Linked DNA regions of Saccharomyces cerevisiae S288C. The protein of the gene in region 3 purifies or fractionates together with the protein of the main gene of each other region. This does not show direct contact. Each region holds a gene or a part of one and is shown on either strand. Other genes may lie near its edges. The genes, in order: SDS24, SAM2, PSA1 and GRX3.

The links.
Region 1: the proteins of PSA1 (region 3) and SDS24 purify together in Saccharomyces cerevisiae (affinity purification with mass spectrometry, with the first as the bait; one large-scale study listed by BioGRID). This does not show direct contact.
Region 2: the proteins of PSA1 (region 3) and SAM2 purify together in Saccharomyces cerevisiae (affinity purification with mass spectrometry, with the first as the bait; one large-scale study listed by BioGRID). This does not show direct contact.
Region 4: the proteins of PSA1 (region 3) and GRX3 purify together in Saccharomyces cerevisiae (affinity purification with mass spectrometry, with the first as the bait; one large-scale study listed by BioGRID). This does not show direct contact.

Annotation. Positions count from the first base shown.
Region 1 is NC_001134.8:648,462-653,498, reverse strand, and holds SDS24 (Sds24p), read right to left. Parts: upstream 2,085-5,037; coding exon 501-2,084; downstream 1-500. Other genes in the region: HPC2 (Hpc2p), read right to left, coding at 1-46, 131-143; bifunctional precorrin-2 dehydrogenase/sirohydrochlorin ferrochelatase MET8, read right to left, coding at 2,307-3,131; NGR1 (Ngr1p), read right to left, coding at 3,595-5,037. UniProt on the Saccharomyces cerevisiae protein: Involved in DNA replication and cell separation during budding.
Region 2 is NC_001136.10:1,452,172-1,456,887, forward strand, and holds SAM2 (methionine adenosyltransferase SAM2), read right to left. Parts: upstream 2,294-4,716; coding exon 1,139-2,293; downstream 1-1,138. Other genes in the region: PLM2 (Plm2p), read left to right, coding at 1-747; phosphatidate phosphatase LPP1, read right to left, coding at 2,871-3,695; SPG3 (Spg3p), read right to left, coding at 4,140-4,523; PSP1 (Psp1p), read right to left, coding at 4,524-4,716. UniProt on the Saccharomyces cerevisiae protein: Catalyzes the formation of S-adenosylmethionine from methionine and ATP. The reaction comprises two steps that are both catalyzed by the same enzyme: formation of S-adenosylmethionine (AdoMet) and triphosphate, and subsequent hydrolysis of the triphosphate.
Region 3 is NC_001136.10:354,313-358,823, forward strand, and holds PSA1 (mannose-1-phosphate guanylyltransferase), read right to left. Parts: upstream 2,448-4,511; coding exon 1,362-2,447; downstream 1-1,361. Other genes in the region: transcription factor MBP1, read left to right, coding at 1-1,066. UniProt on the Saccharomyces cerevisiae protein: Involved in cell wall synthesis where it is required for glycosylation. Involved in cell cycle progression through cell-size checkpoint.
Region 4 is NC_001136.10:643,678-648,143, forward strand, and holds GRX3 (monothiol glutaredoxin GRX3), read right to left. Parts: upstream 1,254-4,466; coding exon 501-1,253; downstream 1-500. Other genes in the region: mismatch repair ATPase MSH6, read right to left, coding at 1-160.

The DNA.
Region 1 (5,037 bases), on a different chromosome or scaffold from region 3:
GATTTTGTCTGTTTACTACCACTTTTAGAGTTATCAAGGACAATTGCTATCATAAATAGAATTGTTAATCAAAATGATCTAAAACACCCCTAACGAAGGGCGGATAATTGAAAATAAAGCCAGAACATACCTTTTTGGTCCATTTCCAATCGTTTGAATATGGTCGTGGAGGTTAATGCTGTTCGTTTAAATCGTTTCAGAATGCAAAATTAACCGCATCAGTTTCTGCATTGTGTGTACATTCGCCTGACATATTTTGCTTTAATTTTCCACGACAAGAAAAAAAGATATACATATACGCGACAATAGCAAAAGTCAGAGTTTAATAAGTTGAATATACAAAATAGAATATATAAATGTTTTCAGAACAAGTATATACGCTTAAATGTCTACAAAATACTTAAAACCATATAAATGAACAATATTTTCTTTTAGTCATTGTAAAAGATTTTTTTTTTTGAGGGAGAGGGAAACAGCGGGAAAAGACAACGCTGCAAGCCTCACATGGCGATACTGCCTCTCTGTCTTCTTGCGGATTGCGGATCCACTTCTTTATTCCCTGTTTGTTTCCTTGCTAATAAGTTGATGATGTCTGTCAATGAGACCACACCGATCAACTTACCCGTTCTATATTCCTTTTCGAATAGGTTTGGTGTGTTTGTTGAGGAAGCGGGACTTGGTGGTGGGATCGCGATGGCCGAAGAACGTGGGGATGGTGGGTCTTCCATTGCTGTCATCAACGGAGAGTGGGAGTTGAGGGATGTTGAAGAGGATGACTTTGACATTGGAGTCGCACCATTAGCAGACGATTGAGCGGTGGCAGAAACTGCATTGGCTGCAGTATTAGCAGCTGTTAAATTTGTGGATGACGCCGAGGTTGACGACTCCGGCGGTTGTACGATCCATAGTCTATGAGACTTTGTAGCAACTAACTTGGCAAGAGTCCTTGCTAGTGAACTACTGGGGTATACGTGAAAAATGGGGAAAGAATCTTTACCCGTTTCTAATCCTCTGGAGTTTAAAATGACAGAAATGAAATGGCGACATGTCTTATGTAGTAAGGGGTATTGGGAGGTTCTTGTGACATGTTTTACGTCCGTTACCGATATGTTACCTAGCAAATTACCTTGTTTGTCGATGACTGCAATGGAAGAAATTCTTTCCACATGCATTTTATAAAGGCCCATGATTAAGGGCTCCTCGCCTTGAATAGAGATGACACGGGATTGTCTTGAAGTTGGCTTAGATTGAATATTGAGAACACCGATGTGCAAATCTTGTAATGAGGAGTTTAATAGAGGTTCTAAGCTTGTAAAAGATCTAGCGTTGTCCCAAAGATACTTTATCAAACGACGTTGGGACAAAATACCTTTAACTTTGGTCATCTCTTCGTTTGTTATCGCTACACGATGGACACCCGAACCGAGAATCCCCATCACCGTGGACAAACTCTCATTCTCCGGCAGCTTATAGAACGGATTCTTAGGAGTTAGTTTCACCATTTCGCCCACTGGTACGGGTTTTCCATTCTGGCAATCTGCAGTAAGCTGTTTGTTGCTGACGGTGATTTTATTCAAAACCAGCAAAAGGTACGAATTAAGGTCATTGTAGTCGAAAGTAAAACAGTTCATGTCGCCGGGGAAAGATTCCACGGGAATAGAGTTTAGATGATACTTGATCAAAGTGTTGAATGCCTCCTCTACCGATATGGAACCTGGAACAAAAATAAGCTTATTCTGTTCGATCAATTGCGACAACGGTATGTGTTGCCATTTTTGGGCGTGCACACATGACAGACACTGCGATGGCGTCTGGGTCATAGGAACAGCTGATAGTTTGAATTGAGGCTTTTCATCGCGCAAGGGGGCGGGTGTAGCAGCACAACCTGGACCAGGCGCTGCCGCTGTTGCTGTTGGCGGCGTGGACTCTTCTGGTTGTTCCTTGTCGTCTGTATCGTTCACTTGAACGTGGGGCAGCAATGGCGGAGTAGACAGCATCTCCACAATGGATGCATGTCTAGAAGTTGGAAGGTTGTTGGAAGAATTGCTTTGGCTTGGAGGGAACGTGTTCGAAGTAGAAGCCATGTTGTGTGAAGGAAGAAACGGTAATTGTTCTATAAGTGTTTATAGTTATTATAGTTGGGTTGTGTGCCTGATCTTGCCTGATAAGATAGAAGAAAAGTTGATCTGAACAGGCATTGTTGTTCGTTCTCCAACCCCTATATATGCGAAATATATACAAAATCCCAGTAGATTTTCTCTACACAATAGAAAGGACGCGCCCCTTAAAAGAGGAGGCCCTGTCGCTCAAGACGAGCAGTACTCGCTAAGCAACCGTTCTCTGGGAGGGAACTGCAAGGAACAGTTCTGTTCTTGAAACATGACCTTGAAAAGATCCAGCAGACGTTTTACGTCGATGTTGTGGCAGTGCTGAATGCCGAAGAGGTCTGTGCAGCGTCTGGCCCAATCCATGCGGTACTTGACATCCTTGTCGTCTGGTGCCAGCAGCCTAATTCCTCTTCTCAGCTCACCTAGTTTGACGACAGCGTCCTCCAGCGCCAGATCCCCCATTTGTGTGAATAAGTTACGGATCTCATCTCTTACTAGAGCGCCAAAGCGCGGAGAAAGGCCGTTGGTAGAGATCAGAATCTGTAGACGGTCTCCTATCTCCAGGTTGGCGCCGAAATAAAAGTCACAGAGATCAGGTTTGTCCGCCACATTGACCAGCTGCTGCTTACCGAATCTTTCCTTACAAAGGTGATATATTCTTGCGCTTTCAGGGTGGTCGGGTATACAGGTCATTATTATGTACCACGCGTCGTTCTCGTCTTCTAGGTCGAGGTATTCGTCTTTGAAGTCACTGCGGATGTACTCGTAAATTTCATTCTTCGTGGGGTCCCAGTTCGGATTGATAAAGCGTTTAGCGTCTTCTCTGTAGTCGGGCTGATCCTCGTTCTGGATGAATTTTCCAAACTTCGGAATAATGGATTTGTGTAGGTCAGGAGATACTAAAGTCAGCTTGCAACCTGTAGGTATCAGCTTATATAACCTTGTCAAGCCGACTTCTCCGCCTCCGATTAGTAGTATTTTCTTGTCTTTTAATTGATGGGCTAGCTGTAGCGATTTGACCATTTTTTATCCTATTATACACTCTCTTATTTTGCACACTTCATGAACAATGTATGGCAAAAATGTCTGGCACAGCCTTTTATTGAAGTAAATGTATATATATATATATGTGTGTGTGTGTGTCCATCATTTACATGCTACTGCCCGTAGTCATCGGACTTTGTAGCGATTTTCACATTTTTTTTCCGTCAGCATGGCTATTATAACACGTGAAATTATGACGCCAGCTTTTCGCATATATAGTTAATATAAAACACTTTGAAACGGAACTGTTTGAGTAAATAAATGTACTTAGATAGATAAAAATAGATAGGTAGTATAGAGGAAAAACAAATTTGATTAGAATTATGGATCGACAATTGACTAGGTTGTAACTGAAATGGCATTAATAGAAGAAACGTAAGAACGTAGAGACGCAGATAAAACTGCGGACAAGATTAAAATTTTCTTTTTTTGTCTTTTGTAATCAATGTAGAAGAGAAGGATGAATTGGCGGAACATTGTTCCTATTAGGATGCTTGTTCATGATGCTCGATTTCGAATTATTGGAATTCGGGGCTATATTTAAGGGAGGAGTCATCATCCTGGACACGTCATACATATTTGCACCGTTTCCCATTCCGTATGGTACTGGATTTACGTTCATGTTCATGTTCATGTTAGAATTCATGATCATGTTTGTGTTAGGGTTTGTGTTCATGCTTGAGGCCGTTTTATTGCTGTTGCCATTGGGCAGTTGCATAGAAATTGACATCGCGTTCCCAAATTGAGGTAAGTTATTAGTAGCATTGGAGAATTGGTTGCCCGTCGGATGGAGCGAGTATGAGGGACTTGAATATTGGTGTGGGTACAGTGCACCGTCTTCTTGCATATACGGGACATTAGATCTCTGCAGATTAACGAGGTCGCTATGGCTGCCATTCTTGTTCCTGTGATAATCGTAATTATTGTAGTTGTAATAGTTGTTGTGCGCCATTTGCTCCATAGAAAAGTTACCATCCTGTTGCTGCTGCTGCTGCTGCTGCTGCTGCTGATGTAAAAAGAGTCGCCTTTTATCTTCCGCATATTGTTCAAGAATTTGTTTGGAGTTATCGACTGAAGAAGCCGCAGATGGCGCTCTCAGGCCATTTGAGGACATATATTGGCTTGCCCCCATGATGGTCGAATTTGTTTTAGCATTTGAACTGGATGGGCGTCCCCATGATAATCTTATTGGACTGCCGCCCACAATAAAGCCTTGCAGGCCTTGTATTGAAGCTTCAGCATCAATCCTCTTCTCGAATTTAACAAACCCACAGTTTTTACCATTGGGAATCCTGACATTTAGAATGGGTCCAAAGGGTTTGAATAGTGAACGTAATTGAAATTCGGTAGTTTTTGGTACCAGTCCTCCCACAAAAACAGTAGTATTAGTGGGGTCTGTATTATAGGTGTTTGAAGGTAGTGAATCATTTACACGCATGTTTGAAATGCCGCCCTCATTCAAATGCATTGGAGGCGCGTTATGCAAGGCATTGAGAGGAAGCATGTTGCTATTGTTTTGAATGAGATTATTTGCAGTCTTAATCAAGAGAGGGCCATTATTATCCTCCTGATCTAGCTGCTGATGCTGTTGCTGCAATTGTTGTTGCTGTTGTTGTTGTTCCTGTAACTGCAGCATCATATTATTTCTTGGCGTGGCATAAGCGACTCTTAAGGCCCTTCCTTGAAACCATTTCCCACTCATCTCAATCAGTGCCCTGCGGCGCTCATCTTCATCACCGAATCTGACAAATCCAAAACAACGAGATGATCCTGTTAAAGGGTCAGTCATCACGCGGACGGTTTTAACAGATTTGAACCTCGTTTGGAAAAGAGATAACAAATCAGCTTCAGTGGCGGTGGGAGAAAGATCACCAACAAACAAGGA
Region 2 (4,716 bases), 1.1 Mb from region 3:
AAATTTGTCCCAGTTGAGCATTCACCTCGTACAGAACAGATCTCAAAACCATTACTTATTGCATCTCCTGCTCTTGTGAAAAACTCCCCCATTAGTTATAGAACAACACCCCAAACATCTTTCGTTATTAATCAGCCATCAACTCCAAAGAAACTGAAGCGTAAATCAATTTCATTGAAAAATAACACTATACAAGAGACACCACTTCCTAAAGATAAAATAATTGGGACATTAAGTGCCAGTACTAGGAGTGGTGGCATTAATGAAGAAGAATCTTTCGCAGCAGTTGCAAAAAAAACTAAAGAGCTGTCTTCTACAACCGCGATTGTATCTCCTGCACAAAAACGTCTTAAGACTTCATTGAATATTATTCCCGAAATTTCTCGGTCGCTCTCAGAAAGAGGAATTCGGTTTGATGACCTAGTTCATGTGCTATGTAATCATCTTGCATTTTCTAACCTTCAACAAACGCCTTTATCCCAATTGCAAAACATCAATTCCAACACTTCACAATTAAGCAAAGATGAACTAAAAAAGGTCTTGGAGACTATTTCTTGCATTGGTATTATTGTGCGTGAAGGAAAAGATGCGTCTGGCAAGCCATTAGAAGACGAGTATTACTATGATGTTGAAAACGATGATAGCGACGAGAGAAAGATTTTGTATAATTCGTTAAAAGGCAGGAGCCGATTAAGGTCGTGCAGGAAGAAACATAAACAGTATTTCTGGAAGAGGCCGACCAAATAACCTCAAAGACATTCTATATTTCAACCTTATTTCCATAGCATAGTCATATTACCACGTGGAGCATCATGAAAAAAACTGGTAAAACTCGTCAAAAAGTTCTAAAAACATAAAGTAATATTTTCTATATATTTCCGTTGAAGGAGCTAATACATAATCCATACAAAATAGATCATTATGCCTAGATGTTATTCTATTGGTGTTTGTCAAGTTTAAGAATGTTTAAAACTTTTCTATTGTATCATTTTCTAGTAATTACATGACTCGAGTTGAGCGAATCAAACGATAAGGCATCGTCTTCTCAATATAGGGAGGTGATCGGGACCAGCCTAGCATAAAGAAAGGGATTGAAATAATTATAAAAATCAAAATAAAACATTTATTGTCTAAATGTTTAAAATTCCAATTTCTTTGGTTTTTCCCATGAGTACTCTTGATTAGTGAAGTGACCATAAGAAGCGGTTGGTAAGTAAATTGGTCTAGCCAAATCTAATTCCTTTACTAACACACCTGGTCTCAAGTCGAAGTTCTTCTTAATAATTTCAATGATTTCGTCATCTGATTTTGTAGCTGTACCATAGGTGTCCACATGTAAAGACAATGGTTCAGCAATACCAATAGCATATGAAAATTGGACTTGGACTCTCTTACACAAACCAGCGGCAACTAGAGACTTGGCAACCCATCTAGCAGCGTAAGCAGCGGAACGATCGACCTTGGAATAGTCCTTACCGGAGAAGGCACCACCACCGACGGATGAGGCACCACCGTAAGCGTCGACAATAATCTTTCTACCGGTCAAACCAGCGTCACCTTGAGGACCACCGATGACGAATCTACCGGATGGTTGGATGAAATATTTGGTATTTTCGTCTAACATATCCTTTGGTATGACCTTTTCAACAATATCTTTTTGAAGTTGAGTTCTCAAGTCAGCGGTGGAAATTTCATCAGCATGTTGAGCAGAAATAACAACGGTATCTATCCTCTTTGGAACCCATCTACCATTGTCGTCTTCGTATTCGACAGTGACTTGAGTCTTTGTGTCTGGTCTCAACCATGGGAGAGAACCATCTCTTCTAGCATCTGCCATAGCCATGTTCAATTTGTGAGCCAAAAGAATGGTCAATGGTAACCCTTCTGGAGTTTCGTCTGTAGCGTAACCAAACATTATACCTTGGTCACCAGCACCTAAGTCTTCTAAGCTCTTTTCATAGTGCAGACCTTGAGCGATATCTGGAGATTGTTGTTCGATAGCTACTAAAACATTACATGTCTTGTAGTCGAAACCCTTGGCAGAATCGTCATAACCAATCTTCTTGATGGTATCTCTTACTATTTGTTGGTAGTCAAGTCTAGCTTTGGTGGTAATTTCACCGAAAACCATAATCATACCAGTTTTGGCAGCTGTTTCACAGGCAACCTTGGAGAATGGATCTTGTTCTAAACAAGCGTCCAAAATAGCATCAGAAACTTGGTCACAAATCTTGTCTGGGTGACCTTCACCGACGGATTCAGAGGTAAATAAGAAAGTTTTGCTCTTGGACATGATTATGTTTGTATATTGTCGTAAATACTGGATATATTGAAGACAGTTATGTTTTTTAAACCTTTTAAAAAAAGAAAAAAGGGGCAGAAGCAAGATTCTCGAAAATACTTTGTAGAAAGGACAGATATAACCTCCTTCTTATACGCCTCAAGACGACAGATGACTACCAAAAAGAAATCAAGATCTCCTTGCATATGAAGATTTGACGTCGTTTACAAGAGCTATCTCAGAAATTTCATCGGTATTTTGGCTTCGGTTAATATCTGGCGTGGACCCATCGGTGGAAAAACGCCACAGTTTTCAAGCTCAATTATAGTCACGTGGGTAGAAATATTACACTGCACCGCAAGAAAGTACGACCAGATGAATCACATGTGAAGATGTTAACAAGTTTACATACTTTTTGATCAGGTAAGCTATGCATAATGTCTTAGTTTTAGTTATGTAAAGAAATGCAAACTTTTAGTGCATATTTTATCTTATATAATAGAGCAAAGCTCGCCAGTGCTCCAGTTGTTACCTGAGAATGAAGCTTGATCGGCTTTTATTCTTTCCTGATAGGACTCTGTAAGTGTTACTAAACACTAACCGGTGAAGGAAGTATGTCTCTTTTCGCCAAGTTTGTAAATGTCCATTTCCAGCAACAATAAATGACTAAAAATGCTAGAACAGCTCCAGAGACAACATCGTACCAATGATGTCTGTGATCGATAACCCTTGAAACCATTACTACTAGAGCTAATAAAGGGCACCAAATGCAACTTCTTGTATTGCGTGTGGTGAAAACCCTTTGCCAAAGATATGTAAAGCCCATGGTACTGACTATGAAACTTGAATGTCCGCTTGGAGTGCTTTTTAAGCCTTCGTATAGAATCCATTTGTTAGTCTGCTTGCAAATGTCCAAGCCAAAAACCAAAGAATCTGAATCACTCATCTTTTGGAGGTCAGGTATACATCTATCAACAAAGTCAGGCCTCAAGTTTCCTATAATCAACTTTAAGGCGCCTGTTAGGGCAGCATTTATGCTTATAATCAGCATCAGACATAGAATGCTAGTATGCATGAAGTGAAAATCGTTCGAGATTCCGTCCGGCCTCTCTCTTAGTCTCTTTACTCTATTCTTCTTCAGTAAGTCCTTGTCAAACATGCAGGTCCAGAAGACGACCATGTTACTCAGTCCAACACTCAAAATCAAACATTCTAGTGGGCCCACGAGTTCGTTAGGTACATAACGTTTTGATATACTGGGGTCATCAAGACTAAATTCGATGTTTTGGCCCCTAGGTACCAGGGATATCTCCGAATAGAGGAATAATATCGTACATAGACCAATTATCATGTACTGAAAGTAGTATAGCTTAAAATACTCCTTATGTTTCTCATCCGCCATGACAGAGATCATCCTTGGTAGAATATGACGAGTTTCCTTAGGCGTTGATGTAGGAGTTTCTCACTCTTGAAAGCAGTAAAATCACTTCAAAGAATGGCTTTCTTTCTTCCCTTAAAGACTATAAGTTGTCAGGTTTCACGTGGCAACTACAAGAAAAAAAATTCTTACGCGTGAACCAAAACAAAAATTATCAACCAATACATGTCGACAAATAATGAATTAGAGCAATAGCCACGATAACAGACCTTGATTAAATGTAAACTACATATAAGTTTATAAGGGTTGGTTGATTCCATTATTTTTTGTTTTTTATATAAAGCCTATGAAAAATAAATGGAAGCGGCTGTTAGAATATAAAATAGAAGTTGAAACAACAAAAATGTAAGAAAGTTGCCAACAATAAATCTCAAACTTGAAAGTGTGGATCGAGGAATATGGACAATCTTTAAAAAATTTTTAGTCCCGTAGTTTTTCGAATTTTTCCTTACCAGTGACCATGAAACCATGATTGGGAGACGTATAAGTAATTTTTATCAAAGTTAAACAGAATAATGAACATTTTCTTCTATTTCTCCCTGTGAAGTTTTCATATAGAAAAAAACATAAGGGAAAGAAAATATTGATAATAGAAAGATAGTACCAAATTGAATTGGCAGGAAAATAGGTAAACAACGAACAGAAACGATAAAACAAAATAACATAAAAAAAGTAGACAAAAATAAAAACAAAAACAAAAACAAACAAAAACAAAAACAATGAAAAAATGTTAACAAAATAATGGCAAATGGTTGTCTTTTCTTTTAGAAAATTTATAGTTACAACAAGGAAATAACAGATCATTTAATGAAATAATTCGTGAACTAATTCTTCATACACAGCAATCTGAAAGTTGTCGAGTTCAATTTCGTTCAACGGAGGTGCAAAATTAACTCTGTTATTCCCCCTGTTCTGCGAAAACTCATTGACATTCATTAAATCTTCAGCATTGTAATTTTTTACTATGTTTTGATATAATTTCAGCTCTTTTTGTTGT
Region 3 (4,511 bases):
ACCTTCTGCAGTTTATTATCTTGATGTTGTGCTATCTAAGATCAAGGATTTTTCCCCACAGTATAGAATTGAATTACTTTTAAACACACAAGACAAAAATGGCGATACCGCACTTCATATTGCTTCTAAAAATGGAGATGTTGTTTTTTTTAATACACTGGTCAAAATGGGTGCATTAACTACTATTTCCAATAAGGAAGGATTAACCGCCAATGAAATAATGAATCAACAATATGAGCAAATGATGATACAAAATGGTACAAATCAACATGTCAATTCTTCAAACACGGACTTGAATATCCACGTTAATACAAACAACATTGAAACGAAAAATGATGTTAATTCAATGGTAATCATGTCGCCTGTTTCTCCTTCGGATTACATAACCTATCCATCTCAAATTGCCACCAATATATCAAGAAATATTCCAAATGTAGTGAATTCTATGAAGCAAATGGCTAGCATATACAACGATCTTCATGAACAGCATGACAACGAAATAAAAAGTTTGCAAAAAACTTTAAAAAGCATTTCTAAGACGAAAATACAGGTAAGCCTAAAAACTTTAGAGGTATTGAAAGAGAGCAGTAAAGATGAAAACGGCGAAGCTCAGACTAATGATGACTTCGAAATTTTATCTCGTCTACAAGAACAAAATACTAAGAAATTGAGAAAAAGGCTCATACGATACAAACGGTTGATAAAACAAAAGCTGGAATACAGGCAAACGGTTTTATTGAACAAATTAATAGAAGATGAAACTCAGGCTACCACCAATAACACAGTTGAGAAAGATAATAATACGCTGGAAAGGTTGGAATTGGCTCAAGAACTAACGATGTTGCAATTACAAAGGAAAAACAAATTGAGTTCCTTGGTGAAGAAATTTGAAGACAATGCCAAGATTCATAAATATAGACGGATTATCAGGGAAGGTACGGAAATGAATATTGAAGAAGTAGATAGTTCGCTGGATGTAATACTACAGACATTGATAGCCAACAATAATAAAAATAAGGGCGCAGAACAGATCATCACAATCTCAAACGCGAATAGTCATGCATAAAATATACATAAATAGAGGAACTTTACATGTATCCATATACTGAAAAATAGATAAAACAATGAGATAATATTTATTAACTTCTACGTAAATAAAAAGTTACATAAGGATCAACCTTTTTTTCTTTATTTTCTTTTTTTTTTTTATTTTTCATTTTCAATTACAAACTAAGACATAACAGTAAGCAGTGCTTTTTCTGTGCATGTTTTCCTCTTTTTATAATGATATTGGCTAAAATAAAATTAACAAAAACAGATGAGTGATATAGATTATATTCATTACAGTTCGTTTTCCTAACTCACATAATAATAGCTTCCTTTGGAACATTATCGGAGATAGACTTATGAGGTAAGACTTTACCACCGTTGATGTAGATTTCGTCCTTAACTTCAACGTCGTCACCCAAGACAGTGACACCTTCCAAACGACACCATTGACCAACGGTAGAGTTCCAGCCTACGATGGTAGATTTGACCAAGGAGTGGTTCTTGATGGTGGAGTTGCACAAAACAACAGATCTGGTGATTCTAACACCATCACCGATGGTGACATTAGGACCGATAACCACGTCTGGGCCAATCTTAGCAGTGGAGGAAATCTTAGCGGTTGGGTCGATCAAGGCATTACCAACAATGTTGGCACCTGTAGCCAATTTTTTTGGTTGTCTCTTGGCCAAAGAGTTCAAGTAAAGAACGGTACCAGACAAGAAGTCCTTTGGTTGACCAACATCCATCCAGAAACCTTCCAAATCGAAGGAATATAGTTGTTTTTCTTCGACCAAGATTGGGAAAGTTTCCTTTTCAATTGAAGTTGGCTTCATTTCAATCAAGTCAATGACTTCTGGGTTTAAAATGTACAAACCGGCGTTAATTCTGTTACCAACAAATTCCTTTGGCTTTTCAACAAATCTGTCAATCAAGTTTGGAGTAGCTATATCATGGACAATGACACCGTATTTAGAAGGTTCGTCGACCTTGGTAGCAACAATGGTACCTTTACCACCGTGAGCTTTGTGGAAGTCAGCCAATTCCTTGAATGGATATTCGCAAATGACGTCGGAGTTTAGGACGAAAAATGGAGAGTTGTCCTTCTTCAAAACATCTTCAGCCAATTTCAATGGACCTGCAGTACCTAATGGTTCAGTTTCTACAGAGAAAGTGATGTTAACACCATATTCCTTTTCGTACTTCTTCAAAGTTTCCACCATGACTTCTGGTCTGTAATTAACAGCAAGAACGATGTCAGTAACACCAGCGTTGGCTAAAGCCTCGATTTGGTGTAAAATCATTGGTCTATTACCGAATTCAACCAGTGGCTTTGGAACGGTCAAAGTTAAAGGTCTCAATCTGGTACCGTAACCACCGACTAAAATTAAACCTTTCATTTTTCAATTATATATGTTTTATTTGTTGAAGTTGTAGCTTGTCTTGTGCTGATAATATTTTGTTTGTATAGTCAACAAAATATTTGGACAGAAGAAAAGAGTTAGCGAATGTAAAGTAGTTTGCACACTTGATGAACGTTATCAAAGTCAAAGAGGTGAGAACAAGATAGACAAAGAAAAAAAAAATACAGTTTTGGAGAAAAGAAAACAAGACTATGTGAAACTTCTAACAATGACGTGAAAAGTCTACTATATATATGTTTACAAGAGCGCCACGAGGCAAGGAAAAAAAGAAAACAAAGCGAGAAACCACCAGCTTACTTTACTACCGGTCAGCTGTGGTTCTGTGTCTGTTCGTCTGTTTGTTTGTTTGTTTGTTTATTGCTGCGCTGTTCATGCTGAAAAACGACAAAAACAAAGAAAAAAAAGTTTTTCAGAGATTGAGATAAAAATAAACGTGGTGGCTCCCGAGGCATTTCTAGCTGGCCAGCAAGTACACGGTGGCCGTTTCTTTTGGCGTTTTTTTTTTCTGTTTTCGCGTTCTTCATGCTGTGCGTTGCTGGTGAGGTGGCGTGGACGGTTTGGTTTAGGCAATGATAGAAAAAGCTATAGTCAGAGTTGCAGGAAAGGACGAAAGTAGTCCATTTGGTGCCGTTATCCAAGGGTCTTGCTCTTAGTCTTGCTTTTCACCCAGCACGCGGTAAGAAGGATCGGGTGCAGCATGAAGAATGCTGACTGTACGCGTTTCGATTTGAAGCTTTAGGATGTTCTGTGGGTTGGGTTGGCTCGATCGACAGTGCGTATAGTGACCTTTGAACTGTACCGGGTGGCACGTCGTGCACAGAATCAGAAGTAGTTATAAAAGATTTGTAATTGCGTATATGCAACCAAGTTTAGGCTTTCTCCGTGCCGTTTTTTAAGGTGAAATGTACTCCTCTTGAAAATGTAAAAAAATGGAGCCTCGCAGAGCAGCTTGCCAAGCAGGTTGATACAAGGTGAGCCGCCGAAACATAACGATAAACGTGGTATAGTTTTCGATTGCCTTTAGTTTGGGTGGTCTCAGTGCTGGCACCTGACGAACTATTCGTAGGCAGGAGAACTTGCATCATGTGGTGTTCTTCCGAGATAGGGATGCCGTTTGGTCCTTACGAAAGTCAATGTTCTGGTACTACTAATTATTAACATAGTTCGTTGTATACACACTCTTTACTTTCATAAGAAATAAAAAGCACGTCTAAGAAATCTCTACGTCTTGGCTGCGGCAAGCAACTGCATAGAAAGCACATAGTAGTAACTCTAAAATGCGAGCTTCATACAGACAATTACATAAATGCAACATAGGCAGCATGGGATCCTGGGTTTCATATCGTCAAAGAAAGCCACCAACTGGCTTTACCATAAAAATACGAAAAGAAGTGCACACATTCTTCTTTTTGGCTCATCACAAGTTCTTCAATTTACTGTCATTACTTTTGTTTCCTTGTCAGATAATGTATGGGTGGTGTGTACACCAAGGTATTTTTTTTTTTACTTGGCAGATCTGCAATGCATAATAGAATGGTAAGGGAACGAGTAACAGACGGGAAGCGAATGCGAACACAAAGAATATAAATTTGAAATCTCCTGTTGCAAAGGATTCTCTAGACATTTACTATCTCAGTGACAATTCTCGAGTGAAACAAGAAATTGAGATGGTAGGTCAGCGCCCATACTTCTTGAATCAATTGGAGGAGCGGATAAAGCAAGTTTCCCCCCTCAATGTAAATCATCTTAAGCAAAATTTTAAAATCTAGGCACATATAAAGAGAAAATGGGAATGATTTTGCTGGATAGGCTACAGTGTTAGGAATGCAGAATTAGGAACTATAGATGATGCGATTAAAGATATTAAACGAGAAGTGACAGTGGTGGCTTCGACAACGGCAGTCGTGCTCGGTCGACAACGTGTATGTTTTTGCCGAGCAGAGCAGGGAAAGTCCTTCTTTCTGCGCGTGAATCAAAACACATTGGTATCGAATTTAACATATCTGGGTGAGGAATGGACAATCCTAATAAAGTACTGGA
Region 4 (4,466 bases), 290 kb from region 3:
TCGCTGGAGTAGGCTTCTGGACCTTCTTTGACGGTGTGCCAGAAGGTACCTGTTTTGAGAAAAAAGATAACAAACTCGATTGCTTCATTTTCTTTTGAGAAGATGTGGAGCCATTTTCGAAGTGTGCAGTCTTAGAAGTTTTAGGGGTAGCTGGGGCCATTTTGGAGTTCAAATTGGCTTTGTCAAAATTAACTAGTTGCTCCAATTAAAAAATCTTATCTGTTAGCAAAGAAGGCTCCAAGGAAAAGCTCTTATTAGTTTCAACAGATGTAATTTCAAATATTTTCTCTATATGGCGATGACCTATACATGAATTTATGAAAAAGTGAGACGCGTATCAGCTACTGCTCACGCGTTTATTTTCTCCGGGCAATGGTTGTTCAAAAAGCCAAACTTAACCAGAAGCCATTCATTATGTCACACATATAAAAATGCTTGCATACCATTAGTTGGAAATGGAGACTTTTCTGTTTCAATTTACACTAAATACATCTATTTATTTAAGATTGGAGAGCATGCTGCAAAAAATCAGGGTCTTCCTCCAAGGATTCCTTGATAATGTCTAAACCGCCTTGAAACTCCCCATTTATATAAAGTTGAGGGAAAGTTGGCCATTCAGAAAACTTTTTCAAGTTTTGTCTAACAGATTCGTCTCTTAATATATCAAAGAAGCCAAATCTTACTTGATGTTCTCTCAAGATACCCACAAGTTGTCTCGAAAACCCGCATTTAGGTTCAGAGGGGCTCCCCTTCATAAATAACATTACCGGCGCGGCATTGACCAATTTAGTCAATCTAGCGTTTATTTGCTCCTCAGTTTCTTCTTCCTCTTCTTCGTCGTCATCGTCTTCATCATTATGACTCCCCTCATTTACGTTTGCATTTTCCATAGTATGAGTTTGTGATGATCCGGAATTGACTGAGTTCTTGCAGTCTTCTAATAAAGACACATACTCCTTTGGATCCGCGCCGGATAATTCTTTTAAGATTGTCCCTTTGTGAATTATGATAAAATATGGAACAGCTGAGATTTCAAAAAGTTCTGAAATTTCCGAGTTTTCGTCCGCATCAATGGATAAGAAAGAGACGTTGGAATTGGAAGGCTCATTACTAATGGCCTCAAAAACCTGCTTTAATGCTTTGCATGGTTCTGCCCAACTGGTATGGAAATAAAGCACGATTAACTTGTCGCCGGCCGCAGTGGTAGTTAGGTAAGTAAATTGCTCTTGATCGTTAATTTCAATAACAGGCATTTCCTGAAAAAGTTTTGCTGCTGTGTAATATCTTGCTTGGTGGCGTTTATAACAGTACGAGGTGTAGTTAAAAGAAAATGCAGATGGAACCTGAAAAGAACACATTTAGTCTTTGAAATATATTTTAATGACCTCTTAGTTTGGCATCTCATGACCCGGCACACATTCTCTGAAAAAAAAAAAAAGTAACTGATGGTTCAACAGAGAAGCCACAGTTAAAAAAGGTCCTACCCGGATTCGAACCGGGGTTGTCCGGATCAAAACCGAAAGTGATAACCACTACACTATAGGACCGTAACAACTGTGTATTGTTGTATTACGGGCTCGAGTAATACCGCAGTGTCTTGACAATCCTAATATAAACAGTCTTAGGGAAGTAACCAGTTGTCAAAACAGTTTATCAGATTAATTCACGGAATGTCACTTATCTTATATATTATATAAAATATGAATCATACTAAGTGGTGGAAGCGCGGAATCTCGGATCTAAACTAATTGTTCAAGCATTTATACGTTTGGGTAGTTCAGCTAGGGAAGGCCGTGTTTTATCTCATGTTGTTCGTTTTGTTATTGAGATATATGTGGGTAATTAGATAATTGTTGGGATTCCATTGTTGATAAAGGCTATAATATTAGGTATACAGAATATACTAGAAGTTCTCCTCGAGGATTTAGGAATCCATAAAAGGGAATCTGCAATTCTACACAATTCTATAAATATTATTATCATCGTTTTATATGTTAATATTCATTGATCCTATTACATTATCAATCCTTGCGTTTCAGCTTCCACTAATTTAGATGACTATTTCTCATCATTTGCGTCATCTTCTAACACCGTATATGATAATATACTAGTAACGTAAATACTAGTTAGTAGATGATAGTTGATTTTTATTCCAACATACCACCCATAATGTAATAGATCTAATGAATCCATTTGTTTGTTAATAGTTTAAATGTTTTTATCGGAAGAGGTTTTGTCATCACATCAGCAATGTTCTTCTTGGTCTCGATGTAGTATACGTATAAATTATTACCTGATACTTCATCTCTAAGTCTCATTGCCTTTGTGCCAAAAAATCTGTTTCTAAATTTCTCTTCATTTGTAGACTTAATTATACTGATCGTTGATCTACTATCAGTAAGTGAGCCTTTAATAATTGGTTTCTTGTTAAGTTCTTGCACAAGGTGACTGAGGTTATTCAATAGCGGAATAGCTTCACTGACTGCGTGTATTTCTGCTTCTGTAGTTGAAGTGCATGTTAACGAAGCCTTTGTCGACTTTCCTCCAATCACTTTTCCGTTGAGTAGGAAAATGTTACCAATTTGTGACTTGTAATATGGTTGGTTACCATATGAAGCATCGCTTATTGCGACTAGTTTATTATCTGGCTTGGTAGGTTTGTTTTTGTGCCATATTAATTGTTTATCTCTAGTGTCCCACATGAATTGTATTAACTCATATGTCATGTCTAAAACTTGCCTAGAGGGGAATAGTATATGTTGAGCAAGTGTGTTGATGTAGTATAGTAAGTCAAATCTAAATTTATATCCAACATATGAAGCTAGACCAATCAACTTTTGCATTTCATGCACTTTCTCTTTGTATTCATCTTCATCTATTTCTAGTTCATCCTGGTCTATATAATGACCTGGTTGACCTGGAGCTCTAAGTTTCTTTCCTTTTGGGTTCAAAGGTACGTTTAGTTTGGGTAATTTTTCTGTCAAGGATTTTTCCATACCTAATTTCATGTACTTGCTTCTTTGATATTTGATCTCTAATCCAAGTATGTCGTACTGAATTTCGTTATCACCTTCACCCAGATTTATTATCTTTGTATCGTATTGTTTCTTGAGTGTTGTTATGATTTTCTTATTTGCATTTAAGTCTTTGCTGAACAATATCATATCATCAACGAATAAGCAAATTGTTACTTGACTATTCTTAAATACGCATGACCATCCACGAACTTCTTCCATACCACACTGTTTTATCAGGTATGATTTGATAGTTTCGTACCAGTTCGCTCCACTTTGTTTCAATCCATAAAGTGATTTCTTCAAACGTATCAACTTATCATTCATTCCTAAATGTGGTGGAGGTCTTATGTATAATTCTTCTTTGATGTCTGCATACAAATATGCCGAAGATATGTCTAATTGTGTAATATAGTAGTTATTGTCTAATGCAAGTGACAGGGATGTCATTAATGCATAGTGATGTACGGTATTGGATTGCATGCCTGAGTCGTAAGTGTCAGGATGCTGAATATCACCTCTTGCAACAAATCTAGCTTTATGAGTACCGTCACGTTTCCTGTTGAAGATAAACATTGAATTTATTACTCTTTTAGGGTCTATTTCTTTTCTGTCATAATATTTGTCAGTGTCCCAAGTATTCATTTTCAATAGTTGGTTGACTTCTTTGTGGTATGCTTCGATATATTTTTCCTTTTCTTTAATATCTTTATTATAGGTGATTGCCTCATCGTATCTTAAGGTTGTCCGTATTGGTTTGATTGATTTTACTGCTTTTACAGCTGCAATCAGGTGAATTCGTTTCTTCGATCTCGGAGGTTCTAAACTACGCATATTCTTAGTATTCCATGTGTCTCGTGATACCTTAATTTCAGTTTCATTATCTTCTAATGATCTTTTCTTACTGTTGATAGTAGTATAGGCATTAGAGTCACCAATACCACCCAAACTGGAATTAGTTTGATGAGAATTTATCGGTGGGAGTTCTTTAAATGGGTCAGGGAATTCGGTAGGAGATTCTGGAGGTAGATCAGGGAGTGGGAGATCAGCGATGATAGATTCCTCGGTATTCTGTTCAGAAACAGTAGTTGGCGTTTTGATAGGAACAATATTGTGCGATGAATTATTTTCCGGTGGAGAAGCATCGATTGAAGGTGAACGGTGTATAATCCTTTTCTCAGTCTCTTGGTCACTTATCTGCGGAACAGTTTTGTTGTTGGTACCACCCGTACTGGATATTGGTACGTTTGTATGATTAGTCTCATTTTCACTGTACGAGTCTGAGTGTCTGAAATCTTTAGATTTACTGGCGTGCGACGACTCATGTGTGTTAGATTGGGACATGGGAGCAAGTAAAGGAACATTTAATTTATGCATACCACCCGAACCGGTACTCTCGATATTGGAAATTTGGGGGGTGCTAGATCTCTTCTTTGATGGAAGAATATTAGA